Rhinolophus ferrumequinum: one gene and its partner. The main gene of each other region encodes a partner of the protein of the gene in region 2 in a complex. Links are inferred from orthologs where the notes say so. Each region holds a gene or a part of one and is shown on either strand. Other genes may lie near its edges.

What was found. Proteins that work in one complex are often made in the same cells at the same time.
Region 1: the proteins of GBA1 (region 2) and SCARB2 are in contact, whole or in part, in a cryo-EM structure (PDB 9FJF), measured with the Homo sapiens proteins. The link is inferred for Rhinolophus ferrumequinum from reciprocal best matches to the Homo sapiens genes GBA1 and SCARB2. Residues at the interface, in NP_000148.2 of Homo sapiens: Leu130, Asn131, Ala134, Ile169, Glu190, Lys194, Leu195, Pro430, Arg434, Ile445, Thr446, Asp448; in NP_005497.1 of Homo sapiens: Lys161, Ala162, Tyr163, Gln164, Lys181, Glu183, Leu187, Phe191, Arg192.

What each region holds. Positions count from the first base shown.
Region 1 is NC_046288.1:32,521,143-32,528,259, reverse strand, and holds the start of SCARB2 (lysosome membrane protein 2), read left to right. Parts: upstream 1-4,052; 5' UTR 4,053-4,067; coding exon 4,068-4,292; intron 4,293-4,317; exon of another isoform or gene 4,318-4,419; intron 4,420-6,484; coding exon 6,485-6,642; intron 6,643-7,117.
Region 2 is NC_046305.1:268,925-276,021, forward strand, and holds the start of GBA1 (lysosomal acid glucosylceramidase), read right to left. Parts: upstream 3,052-7,097; 5' UTR 2,982-3,051; coding exon of another isoform or gene 2,954-2,981; intron 1-2,953. Other genes in the region: protein ENTREP3, read right to left, coding at 5,441-5,614, 5,709-5,962, 6,074-6,142, 6,733-7,097. UniProt on the Homo sapiens protein: Glucosylceramidase that catalyzes, within the lysosomal compartment, the hydrolysis of glucosylceramides/GlcCers (such as beta-D-glucosyl-(1<->1')-N-acylsphing-4-enine) into free ceramides (such as N-acylsphing-4-enine) and glucose.

The DNA.
Region 1 (7,117 bases), on a different chromosome or scaffold from region 2:
TCTCCCCCAACTTGAAGGGAAATCACAGTCACTGATTATTGAGCATTTTGAGTGTGGCCTGAGATTAGCACTCTGCTGAGACCTCCTTTAATCCTGACAATAATCCTAGCCATGCCCTCCTTCCCACTTGTGTTGATGTAACCTTTTAAAGCACTTCTTGCCTGTGTCAATTCAAAATAGGTGGCATGGCACAATAGGAGTCTCCAATAAAAACCAAATCTGACTTAGGTAAGGAGAGACTACATGAAAGGATTATTGCAAATTGGAAAGGACTATTGCAATAGGTGGAGTGGGACTTGCAAAAAGAACTGGCTATGGTATGTGGGAACCTCAAGGGTTAGCCAGAAGGGTTTTTGTTTTGCAGGAAGGAGTAAAGAGGTCTCGGAAGGAGAAAAACTTAACCAATATTTGGCAAACAAGCATTTCCCCCTCCCAGCTTTATTTAAGCACGATTGACAAATAAAAAATTATATTATTTAAGGTGTACAACATGATGTTTGACATGCATATGCATTGTGAAATGATTACCACAGTCAAGTTAATTAACACATCCATCACTTCGCAGAATTGCCTTTTTGTGTCTGCATGTGGTGACATTCTCTTAACAACTTTCAAAATATACAGCACAGTACTAACTATGGTCACCACACTGTACGTTAATAAACATTTTGTTCCCGTTGATTGGTGGGAACAAGCAGTTCAGGTGATCAATTATGAGGCAAAGAATGGGAGCCTGGAGGTGCCTGGCCGTGTCTTAGGTAACACAGGGGGACTTCTGTGAATCTTATCTGAGGCATATGGGGAAGGGTGTTTCTTTGCAGTAAGCCATTTCCTGGAAGACAAAAGGAGGGGCTTCTGACCCATTGCTCTTTTCCAGGAACTTTGGGTTCTGATGAAATTCACCTTTGCTAGGAGCACAGGTTTGTAATGATTCCCTGGGGTGGGAGGCTGGCTCCACATTCTACTGGCAAACCTCAGACATACTCCTAACCTTTTTTGAGCTTTGGTCTCCTGAAATGTAAAATTGGAAAGATGATTTTCACCTTGTAGGCTATTAAGCAAAGTAGATGAGATAAAGCGACAACATACTGCCTGGCTCTTGATAATATTCTGAAGCTCAGAAACCCCATTGTATATCAGATAAAATCTAGACTCCTGTGACCCCCCAACCTGCCTCTCGAAATAAATCTCCCTACTCCCTATAAAACTCACACTCAGTCACACCTAATACTGTCCCATTTCTGTATCTTTTATTGTCTCATTCTCCACAGCCACTATCTTTCTAATTAAGCAGAGGGCTCCAGGAAAGATGGACATGGAGCAAGCAGGAAGGAAGGGCTTATTCTGTCCAGCCAGACAGGACAGTTCATTCGACCCTGGCTGTCCATCAGGCACCCACCCCATGACCTCCCTCTACTTGCCAGATTTTTATTCATTCTTCCTGCCTCACTTTAAGCATCACCTTTCTCTATCTCCGTTCATAAAATCCATTGTCTGAACTCTATAGAGATCATTGTTTGGTATACACACATTCTCCTTGGCCATTTTATCACATGCTGTTTTGTTGTTGATGATCTTACATGTGTGTATTAATATTCTCCTAGAGGGTAAGCTCCTAGTGTTAAGAGAGTCTCGGTTTTCCTTGCAGATGCAGAGATAAATCAAAGGTCAGCAAGCTGATTAATATGCAAGCAGGGTTTATTAGTGATATGTTCTCAGGGAAGAGAATAGTAGGAGAGGGGGGGAGATTGAGAGGGAGAGGGAGAGGGAGAGGGAGAAGGAAAGGGAGAGGGAGGGAGAGAGAGAGATAGATAGAGAGAGCCCTTGTCCCAAGGACTTACAGTTTGCTGGGTGGGGTGAGGGAGTTACAACTGATTGGCGGGGAAAGTGGTGCAAGCCCTTCCACCGGAGGGTGTGACCTCCTAAGATGGGTGGAGGTCTATTGACTCCGATCCTTATCTTGCTCCAGATGACCTCCTGCCATCTGTTGTAAAAACAGATACATGTCTGGAGTCAGTTAATCAAAGATAGTTACGAGCTTTTTCTGTAGGCACTATGGACCCCCTGCCACCCCTCCTCGTCCTCCTACATTTTCTAACTTCTACCTAACACTAGAACACAGAAACCATATCTGTGTTGCTGGGTATCTCCTACAAAGCTAGCACATGCATAGTGTTTCATGATTTACATGCATAGTTCTATATTTTGCGAGAAAACCATGCATATAGCACTGCTTTAAATACAGAGGGTGCCCAAAAACTGTATACACATTTTAAGAAAGGAAAAAACTGTATTAATATATACCGATAACAAAAGATGAATACGAGTCACATTTGACTTCTGCAATTCCTGGAGGTGCTCAAAGTGGTTCCCATCAGCATGTAGACACTTCTGATGATGGCAAACTACTGCTTGAGCAACACTGATCAAAGTGTTAACATTTCTTAAAATGTGTATACATTTTTTTGGCACCCCCGGTATTTGTTAGTAAAAGGGGTCATGGAAGGACACAGATTTTTCTTTCCACCCACAAAAGGTACTGGCCACACTTCATGATTGAGGGTGCTGGATTACTAAGATGTACAAACTGACAGGTGTTAGATCTACGTGTGTCTGTGATTCAAATGAGCTATTACTCTCTCCATATCTGAACGTAAGTAAAATGGTCATTGAACAGCCACTTCCTCTGGTCCACTTTAAAAGCCACTTGGATTTGTTGCTGTCAAGCTGCTGTTACAAAACCTGGCCCTGTGGCTTTGGGTTTGGCCGTTCGTGGCTTTCTTCTTCTTCTCTCAAAGCCTCATATTGAATTATCTCCTAACATCTTCTAAGCAAAGTCAATGGAAGCTAGTGAGCAAGTTTTCTAGTACTATATTCTGTTGATTGAGTAGATATACTCCAGGAACTGCATTGACCTAGACGCTGTGGGGAGGACTAAAGAAAAAACAAAACCTCTGTTCCATTTTTGAGAAGGAAGCAGTTATCCTGATGTTACCATATTGAGTAGCTGCACTGTCCTTTTTATTTTCAGTTGCTAATGTCACCTGCTTCATGTTGATGACTGTTAAATTTGTAGAAAATGTTTTCTGTCCTGACCACTTTTTTCCCCTAAGAAATTCCTATATAATGTGTTGCAGGGTAGAAAGGAAGGGATGACCCATTCATTTGAAGGGGGCTACTCAAGGAATTCATGGAGGAGGGAACATTATTGCCCTGCCCTTTTCTGAATACTTATGGACAAGAAAAAGAGGTCCTTATTTTAATGAAATCAGACATCTTTTACAACATCAATGGGCCTTGAGAATCCTCCAGAAGACAAATTGTTATTTATATGTTGTCTTTCTCATAGTTAACATAGTTTGGGGCAGATGAGATTCATGTTAATGAGTTATTTCTGGTGCTGTAAGCATACTTTATGGTGGAGGAACTCTACCGTATAATTTGTATAACTAAAATGGGTGGTATATTTATATCCATTTTATTAACCTGTTGTGAGGTAGGGCGGAAGAATGGAGAAAAGCTGCACTGGGTTCCTGACCCAGCTGTGACATTAAGTAGCTGTGTGACCTTTTGCACAGTACCTCATCCTTCCTGGGCCTCTGAGTTTTATCTGTTCTACCTGAGGGCCTTCACAGTGGTGTTTTCTCACTCGCTGGGCCTGACTCTCTCCCTTGCTTTTCAGATAGCTAAGACTCCAGTTTAGCAGATAAGATAAAAAAAAAAAAACCAGGAAATTCTTAAAGAAAACTGCCGAAAGTGACTGGTTAGGTTTAGGTTGTCCAGTGAGTGGGGCAGGGAGAGATCCAGTGCTGGGACAGGGAGGGGAGAGCTTCACCAAGGACACAGTCTGAGCTGGATCCGGAATTGGAGGAAAGGGCTTTCATGCTTTGTCTTTAATTTTTTCCTTCTCGTCAATCCGATCTTACCTCAGTAAATCAGTTCTGATAGTAAAGTCCAAGAATGTTTCAGTAACGTGTGGTTTGGATAGAAATCTGATGAATAGACATTCTGAACTGATGCCAAACCACAAGCAATGCCCAGTTCTCAGATATGGCCAAGTAGTGGACATGAATTTCCTCCCAGCCCTCCGGATGATAAGCTTTGCTTTCACAAGCTTTGGTTTGCTGCATGCATTTATTCCTCAGCCACTTTGTTTTTCCCTGCAAAGATTCTTGAGATATTTTCCATTTAATAATAGACCAATAGCACTAAGCTCCCTTGCAACGTTACTTCTGTTAAATTGGAGGTCTGGACTACTAAAACTTGACATCCTGTTTGTGTGCTGTGTCCAGGTACGTTTTATTTATTTTTTATTTTATTTTTATGGAACACTTCATGGATTTGTGTGTCATCCTTGCACAGGAGCCATGCTAATCTCTGTATCATTCCAATTTTAGCATATTGCTGCTGAAGTGAGCACTCAAGGTACATTTTAGCATGTGGTATTTAACATGCTTTGAAGCCAGTCCCTTTGTTTGTTGTCACTCAGATCCTCACTGCCAGAGGAAGGACAGCTGACGTCAGGGGATGCTTCTCTTGGAATCTAGTTGTTGTTTCACTAGTGGCTTATATTGTATCAGTAGATTCCATTTTCCTCTTTTGATTTTCTTTTTAAAAATGTACTCAGTGTTAATTTTTGTATTCATTATAAAAATTTGGAAAATGCAAAATCCCATTAAGGAGAAAACAACAAATTTCAAACGTGCACAGTTAATCACTATTCACATTTTTTTTTATTTGCAGTCTATGCTTTCTTTTATTTTTCTTGTGTACTTCAATAATTTTTACTGTAAGAATGTAATTTTTCTCTATTAACAAGTTGAGGACCGTTAGGACTATTAGATATTACTAGGTTTCTGTCAATTAACCTTGGGCGTGATATTATTCAGGCTGCCGTAGCAATGCAGGATAATGCGGGATAACAAACTTCCAGATCTCAGCGGCTTGTAACAGTAACATTTATTTCATAGTCTGGTGTGCAGGCTGGCTGTCATTTTAACTTGGCTGGTTCAGCTGAACGAGGCTGAAGTTCAGGCTTCATGTCCGGTCCACACATCACCATTTTAGGGCGTTGGCTGAAGGATCAACAGCTACCTGGGGCAGGTTTTTCTCTTGGCTGAGAGTGGCTGGTAGAAACTTGCTGTGCCTCTTAAGACCTTAGCTTAAAATTGGGGCATTTGCATTCCACCCACGTTCTGTTGACCAAATCAAATCACTTGGCCAAGCCTGAAGTCAGTAGAGTGGGGCTCTTCTTGTGGGGGGGCCATGGTGTGTTAGTTTGGGTTTGCGGGGGCTGCCATAACAAATACCACTGACTGGGCGACTTGAACAATAGAAACTTATTGTGTCATAGTTCTGGGTACTAGAAGTCTGAGGTCAAGGTGTCAGCAAGGTTGATGTCTTCTGAGGCCTCTCTCTTTGGCTTGCAAATGGCTGTCTTCTCCCCGTGTCTTCACATGTTCTTTCCTGTGTGTGTCCTAATATACACTTTTCATAAGGACATTAGTCATATTGGATTACAGTCCACCCTAATGATCTCATTTAACCTTGCATATCTCTTTGAAGACTATTTCCAAATACAGTCACATGCTGAGATAATAGGGGTTAGGACTTTAAGATACAAATTTTGGGGGGACACAGTTCAGCTTATAACACGTGTTAAGGGTGGAAAACGAAGGAAGGATTGTAGACAAAGAACACCCTCAAGCACTTAACCTCAAGTGGGGCTCAGCTTCCTCATCGTTAAAACAGGGGTAAGCGTCCTCTTAATAGGTTTGTTGGGGATTGAGTGAGAAAACGCTTGTAGAGCCTGGTGGTGGAGGTATAGGCATGGGTGTGGTTATATCTCAAGTGAAAGGCACAAAGCTAGCCTTCGTGGGCCTATCTCCCTGTTCTCTCATGTGGGCCAGCTGGGAATGCACCATGCCTCCCGGAATAGCCTAACTTCTACAGCAGCTCTACTATCGGTGGAATCTTTGTAACAAAGCCAACAGGACCTTTTGGATACTTTCTTTAACAAAGTTTAAGCTAGTGTTAATTAAAAAGAGAAAGTATTTGTCCACTTCGGCTTTGTTTTATGCCCATTTCATATTGTTGTCTGTGTTGTAATTTTGATACAATTTCTGATGTGTAAAATAGGTTGTCTTATAAATATCTTAATGAAGAGTTAATTGTAAATACACTGTTGTAGCTGTTAAAAAAAGGTCTATGCTCTTAGTCACACCATGTTTCTACCCAGGCACTATAGCTCCAGCATCCTTTCTTTCCCAGAATATTTTTGAAGACCTTTTATGGTTAAGTAGGGCCATGGGCTTCATGTTGGCATAAGGCACGGCCCTGCTCTTAAGGGACTTCAGTTGAATGCCTGTGAAAAAAATAACTGAGCCACGAGGAGGTCAGAGAAGGGAGTGTCCCTGTCTCTGCCTCTGTGTTCAAAGCCAGCTGCCTGACACTTTGTAAATCTCCTTTTGGTTTTCTTCCCTAGAATATTGTGCTAAGGAATGGTTCCGAGACCTTTGACTCCTGGAAGCAGCCGCCTCTGCCAGTGTACACCCAGTTTTATTTTTTCAATGTCACCAATCCAGAGGAGATCCTCAGAGGGGAGATCCCTCGGTTAGAAGAAGTGGGGCCATACACCTACAGGTGAGTCCTGACTGCCTCCCTGCATACTGGAAATATGGAGCGACCACACGGTGGCCTGACTCCCTTATCTTTTCCCAAGGGCATCCTCTGGGTGTTGCGTAGGGAACACAGGTTTTGATTACATCTGCCGGACAGTGGCTTTGTAGCCTGGAGTTGAGTCTCAGCCTGTTAATGTTAGAAATGCAGCTGCTTCTTCCTGAGTTGGCAGAATGTGGTTACTGAGCCATGAAGAGCTACTCTTCACCCCCAACCCTTTTATTTTCTTTAGTGACTTCTAGTGCCTTCCCCTATTTCCCTCCCCCACTAGTTTTAGACCAGTTCCTAAAATTTGCTGTTGATCTGCAGACAGGCTTTTCAGCCTCTTATTCATTCCTTTCCCCCCCGCTTTTCTGGGCATAAGAGATAACCAGAAGCAGCATGCGTTAGTCTTAGGCAGTGACCACCAATTCCAAATGCTGGGGAGTTAGGAGAGTTG
Region 2 (7,097 bases):
CCTAAATTCAGATCCGTCCTACGCTGAAGCCCAAGCCACTCTTAGTCGTTATGTCCAAGAATGCTCCCTGAAATATGCTCCCTGAAAGAGTCCAAGAAATATGCTCCCCGATATTTCAGTAGCATATTTTTAGCCTTCCTTAATGTGATAAACACGTGCAGAGTAAATTTCATGGGTCCTATTTCTTTGGAACCTCAAAACATTCCACTCAGAGGAGAGCACAGACTCGGGGCTCAGTGTTTGCTGAATAAGTAGGTTGTTATCAATCACAGTCCGCTATGCAAGGCCCTGCCTGTCGGGTGTTTCAGGGGCGTCCTTGGTGTGGTTTGAAGGAGAATGAACTTCAGAAAGAACGAACCTAACTCTGAACATGATTATTAGGGTCAGAGAGAGACCCAGTGGAGGGGGCTTGGTTCAGGCTACCGGAAGGACGGCTTCAAATACTGAACACCCAGGACCTGCTGGCACATTCCCACTGTTCTGAGCCTGAGGGGACAGACAGGAAGTATAACCGTTATAGTTATTCAGCCTTTATTTCTTCCCTCCGGTAGTCAAAGGAGACGTGTGTCCAAGACCTCTACCTCATTTCTTGTTTCCTCTGGCCGCCACCCTTTCTCTCCTGTCCCCTAAAGGAGAAGACACGGGGAAGGGTGTTTTAGCATGGACACCGGAGGGATTTCACAATTTAAATCCTCGCTCCATGACTCCCTACCTCTGAGATACTGGGAAGTTACTTGACTTCTTGAGCGTGTTTCCTCATCTCCAAAACTCTTGCCTCAAGGGTTGTTAGGAGGATTTAATGCAACACTGCATGTAATGTTATTGTTCATGCCAAACTTCTGGACCGAATTGCTACACTCGACGAGTCCTCTCTCAGACTTCCTCTTCTCCAAAGGCCAACTCCGCCCTCCCGGCTCCAAAACCGCTCTCACCTGACTTTTTACCTCACTTGACACAGGACCCCTCCCTTCTTGAAGTGCTCTCCTTTGTTCCCATGACTCTGCCCTCTCCTGGTTGGATGTCGCCCCCACTTCTGGCTGCTCCTTCTCCTTTGCAGGCTTCCCCGCCTCTTTCTGCCTGCAGGTGTTCTTTGAGGTTTTATCCTCGGCCTTCTCTTCTCGTAAATCACGCCCACTCCGAAGAGACAACCCCATGGCTTTGATTACCTACTAGTCGCTTTTGGTTCCCAAATCTCCACCTCCAACCCCAATCTTTCTCCTGCGGTGGAATGCAATCTCATGGGGCCGTGAGAACTCTGCCTTCCAGACCTTTCCTCTGTGTGTCTCCCATACACCTCAGCAGGCCCATCATGAGATCGTCCCCTCACCCAGCCAAGCCCGCTCTTCCTCCTGTGTTCTTTCCCCAGGAATGGAAGCCCTTCCTCCCGGAACCTGGGGCTCCTTCCTGACTGTAACCCCTGTCCCCCTCGCCCCATCATTTCTCTCCTGAACTACAGAAGCCTCTCTCTTGGCCTCCTAACCTCCCCTTTTCTCCTCCAATCCATCCTCCAAGAAGAACTAGATGGTCTAATTAAAATATAAATTCCGAAGCTACACTCTCCATCCTCCACTCCTTCAGTGGGTTCCACTCTGCCCTGAAGAGGGCTTCGGGGATCTTTGTCCCACCTTCACGTCTCACCCCTCCATTTGCACATATGGTCCACTGGGCTGCGTCCCATTTCCTTTCATAGGCTGCGTTCCACCTTGCCTCTGCTCTCCTCTACGCCACCCGTCCTTTCTTTTTCTCTCTTGAAAAAAATGAGTAACTCCTCTTTTCCATCACGAATGCCTCAGCCTTACCATTATTGCCATTAGTACCATTTTCCTGACACCGCTGGCTGGATTAGGCACCCCTTCAATGAGCTCCCCAACTCATACAGTCAACAAATAACGGGCGTCTACTACGTGCCGGGCACTGTTCTAGATCCTGGGGCTACCGCAACAAATACGATGATGAAGCTCCTAGCTGTTTGGAGCTTATGTCCTAGAAGCTGGTAGACACAAAACCAGGCAAACTCATGTGGCCATGAGAACTAGGAAGCAAAATAAAGGGGTAAGGCGTGCTGGATAGAACCAGTGAGGGGGATAATTGTAAGACATGACTTTAGAGAAGGAGGCCAGGGGCCAGCTTCTGCAGGGCCCTGGTGGCCAAGGAATCTGAATTTTGTTCTAAGATGGAAATCCACTGGAGAGTTTGGTGCAGGGAAGTGAAAAGATCAGATTTATATTTTTAAAAGGTCATTTTGGCTGCTGTGTAGAAATCAGACTGTAAGGGGCAAGTGCCAAGACAGGGAGACCAGCTGCCAGTTGGAACCTGCCACAGGACTTGTCCCCTTGGCCACAGGACTTGACCCCTTGTTCTCCATCCTTCGACCCTGAGTCCTCGCAAAGGGTCTTCCTTCCGTATGCATTCCTGTTCACCTCCATTCAGCCTAGTTAATGCCTATTCATCTTTCAGAACTCACTTCAGACGTCATTTTCTCCAAAAGATTCTCTCCCTCCACACACACCTCTCCTGTAACACAAGCTCATAGCCCTTACGTCTCCTTTGTAGCTCTTATCACAATGAATTAATTGTACAAGTGGCTTAATGTCAGTTACGGCGCCCAGTGGCCTGCTAACTCGTTTGCCTGCTGTTGGGTCGGTGCGTAAGCCCAGGAGGGTACGGACCAGTCTGTCCTGGCTCCCAGGCGTATCCCCGGGGCGCGCGGGGCGCTGGTCCAGGGCCCCACTGAACGTGTGTCGAATGACTGAAGAATACATCAATTACACAGACCTTATTCCCACTCCACCCCTCAAAAAACAAGAGGAGGATTCGAAGATTCGGTCCCTTCTTCTTCATTACTAAATTACGACCATCCCTACAAATAATAGCAATGATGACGAAAAGGAGAAGTGCAAACGCAGGGAGGGGAGAGTTAAGACGCAAACGGTGCTACATCCAGCGCGCCTACCGTGGGCGAAGCGAAACAGCAACCCCATCCGGAGGCGAAGGGAAATCCCACTGCAGCCCCGCAAAGCCGGGGGGGAGGGGCTGGAGAAGGGGGCTCCGCCGAGCCCGCGCCCGAGAGGCTGCGCCCCCAAGACGCGCGTCCGCGAGACGCGCAGGGGGCGGGGCGGGGCGGGACCGGGCCCCTTCCGCGCTCCCTACTGGTCTTCCTGGGGCCGAACGGTTCTCGTTGACCAGCCGTAGCCCAGATGCGGCGCAAGCGTATTCGGGGGTCTGCTGGGCGGCGGGAAGCGCGCGTGCGCCTTGGCGCACACCCGCCAGCACGCTGTCCTGGGCGGGGGGAGACTGAATTCCCTCAGTGAGTCCAGCCCCCGGAAGTTGAGCGGGATTCTTGAGCTTCCTCCTTCGAGAACCTCAGGATAGAGAACATTCAGTGCCCAGAAGCTGTCCCTTTGGGAGCACCAATTTCTAGTCGCTCCTACCTCATTTTGTCATCCAGGCCGCACCCCAACCCTCCCTGGGGCGGGGTTGTTATGATGGTGAATTATTCAAGAAGCCTCGCAGCCTGCCGCCATCTGTGGACAGCGCCCCTCCTTCCTCCCTTCCTTCCCTGCGGGGCACGCGGCTGTCGCCAATATCATAGGGTCGGGAAGCTTTCCAGGCCCCACTCTGTTACTTAAGTAACTTGAGCTTGTTGAGGACCTACTAAGTGTTAGACCCAGGGCAGTGAGCCAGTCCTTGCTCTCAGGAGCTTACGTTCCATGGGATCACACAGACGAAAGCAAGGTAATTTTAGATAGTGCTAAGTGCCCCCAAACACTGTGGCAGTGTGAGAGAATGACTGGGGTGGGGGTGTGGGGATGCTCAGTGAGAAGGTGAGAATGGAACTAAGACCCGAATTAGGTAAAGGCAGTGGCCACAGGAGAGCGCGTTGAGTGCTTGGGAAAGAGCTGGCGAAAAGGCGCTGACCATCGTCTCAGGAGGAGTTTGGAGATTATTCTAAATACAATGGGAAGCCATCAGATTTGGGCGGAACCTTGATGTGACATGATTTCTTATCATTTTGCCGAGTGGAGAATGGATTGTTAGAATGGAAATAGATCCATTTAGAGGCTGGTAGCTTGAGCTGGGTAGCTGGTGAGACATGGATGAATTCAGGATAGGATCGGATGTGTTGCTTGAGGGCAAAGAAATCAGGATGAGTCCCAAGCTTCTGGAATGTGCAGCTGTGTGAGTGGCGGCGCCACTTGTTGAGAAGGAACCGTTGCAAGAGGAACAGGTTCTGGAGGTGGGAATCAAGAGTTCAGTTGTGACCACGTTGAGGCTGAGATGCCCTTAGACATCCCAGGAGAGATTCGAGTTGGAGGTTGGAGCGCATGGAGAGGTCAAGGAGGGAGTTCTTCGTGAACACATAGCTGGTATTTAAAGCCGTGGAGCCCGTGGGTTTTGGTAGAGACAGCAACAGACAGAGTGGAAGTAGAAAAGGGCCGAGGGGAGAGCCCTGGGGCCTGCCAGAGTTAAGCAGTCCAGTAAGGTATAAAAATCGCAAAGGATAACGAAAGGGTAAAGTAGGAGGAAAAAGAGAATATGTCTTCAAAGACTAGAAAGGGAAAAAGTCAAGAGGAAAGACGCAGATTTTCTGAGTAAATGCTTCTTAGAGGTCAAGTGAGATGCAGGTAGAGAAACGGTCATTTCACTGGGTCTGGTATCTTTTGGTTACTGAAAATTGTCAGAGTAGCGCCTGAGGAGAGGTAGAGTCAGCAGCTGTGGGGGTAAGTTCAGGGAAGGAAGAAAACCTTTTTCTATGAAAAGGAGGAGAGATACAGTGTGGCAGCTGGAAAGAAATGTACGAGTTTTGGCAGAGTTTTCTTAACTAGGAGAGATGCTAGAACAAATTTCATTGGTGATAAAGCATGATCCAGAAGAGAAGGGGAAAACTGAAATTTATTGAAGGCTTAGTGTGTGAAGGCTTCTTAGCTTTAGAAACATTTGTCCTCACCATATTTTACAGGTCAGGCAATGGAGGTTAAATAACTTGCCCAAGGTCATGCAGCTAGAGGTGGCAGAGCTGAGAGGCCAGCCAGATTTTTATGACTTCATGCCTCACCACCCAATTGCGCAGACACACAGCCCCCTATGCTTAGACACCCGGGACATGCCTTGTCCGGCCATAGTTGCCCTGGCAAATCAAAGAGAGCTACTCTCGTGCTGGGGGGTCAGGACTTTTCCTCCTCCAGTGCTGTAAGCAGGGGCATCTCCCCCACAGCCTGAACACCCATGCACCACAGGACAGAAGCTCTCCCAGGCCAGAGGAACAGAGGCAAGCAGCAGGAGCCCCCAGAGGTAGGAGGGAAAGGGATTCTTTTGGGGGGTGTTGAGCGGATTTCTTTTTGTGCCAGCCAGTGCAAGGGAATGCTGGGGGCTGCTGGTCCCAACCAGCTGGTGCCCACGGCCCCAGTATTCATCTGTTCAGTGTGGCAAGAAGCCCAGGTCACAGCCCAGTCTCCCGGTTGCCCCCATTGAGGCTGAGGCTGTGGGGTCGGGTACCACGCTCCAGCCGGCGGCCAGACAGGAGGCGCCGCAAGGAGGAGCCGGAGCTCAGATCGCCACAGCTTCGAAGGTGGAGGCTCTCTCGGCCTGGCCGGCCCCACGGGCTCCGGGGCACCTGAAGGGACACAGGAGTGGGCATCAGTGTGGCCCAACCCAACCGGCAGCTCCAGGCTTTCCTGGGTATCCTCCCAGGCTCCCCTAATGCCTACCTGCTTATGCCCGTGGGCTCCATTCCCACTGGGCTCTGGGGCCTTCCTGGACATCTGGAGGAAACGAGTGACCAGGCCCCGGCCTGGCCAGCTGCCCTTCAGGTCCCCCAGGGAGTGGGCGGGTGCAGGGCCCGAGGGCAGGGGGACCTTCTGGAAGGTGGGCACAGGGCGCCGTTTCTCGGCTGAGTGGGCACGCAGCAGCTTGGGGGATGGGCATCGGGCTAGCCGGAAGAGGCAGGCGTCAGAGCAGAGCCCTGCAGAGAGAGAGAGAGAGGTTGTGGGTGGAAAGGGACAGGGATACACGTGCGGAGAGTGCCAGGCAGCACGCCTTGCCCCGACCCCTGGGCACGGACCACATGGCTGACCTGTATCTGCAGAGGAAACAGAAGCAACTTCTTCCTCAAGCACTTTGGTATAAAGGTCCCTGAAGTCAGCTGGGGAGAGAAATGGACCTAGTGGACATGCTCAGGGGACACGCCCACGCAGCCCACCACCCTCCTGTGAGGATTCAAGCCCACAGGCGCTTTCACAGGTCCCACGCCCCATCCCCTCTGCTCTGAGATGGGACAGTTAGTTCACCGACAAAGGGACAGGGGCGGCATCCTTCACAGTGGCTACCTCCCCGGGGCGGGCGGGCACACATGGGGGTAGTGAGCACGTCCTGGGCCAAGGCTAAGCATTTTCCTCGCGTTATCTCATTTCTCAGTAACTCTACCGTACCTATGGTTGGGGTACCATTGTGACACCTGTTTTACAGGTGAGAAATTGAGGCTTCGTAAATGGCCCAGGTGGGAGCTATAGAATTGGGTTTCAAAGAACAAATCCTGCTCCCTTTAGCCACAAAGCTATACTGATGTTGTTTTTTCTAGGAGGTGAACACTCGAGAAGTGTCTGCCGCAGGGGCGACTCACCCTTTCTCCTCGGGGACCTCGACAGTGTCCCAGATCTCTGGCAGCACTGGCCCTCCACCTCCCAGTACCTACCCTCCTGAACCTCGGTGGGGCGGGGTGGGGGGGCTGCTCACCGGTGTCGCTGGAGGTGGTGATGCCGGGGTCACTGTGGGACCGTGGCAGCAGCAGCGGGGAAGGGGGAGCCGGATGAGGAGGCCGGTGCCCCGGTGGGGTGAGGGAACCTGAGCTATCGCTGAAGCGGCGGGTGGGGGCTCGGGTGGGAGGGGCTGCAGCTGGCCTGCTGCCTCCCCGGGGGACCCGGCGCCTCAGCTCCGGGAAGCAGGGTCCCGCCCAGGGCGGCCAGCCCTCCAGCCGGTGACAGCTGCGGGCGGCTGTTGGGGCACCCAGCGGGGGTGGGGCTTCCGGGGCAGAGCAGGAATAGGAGCGGGCGGCCCGCGGCGGCCGTCGGGGCAGCGGGCTGTCCTCAAAGGGGCCGCGC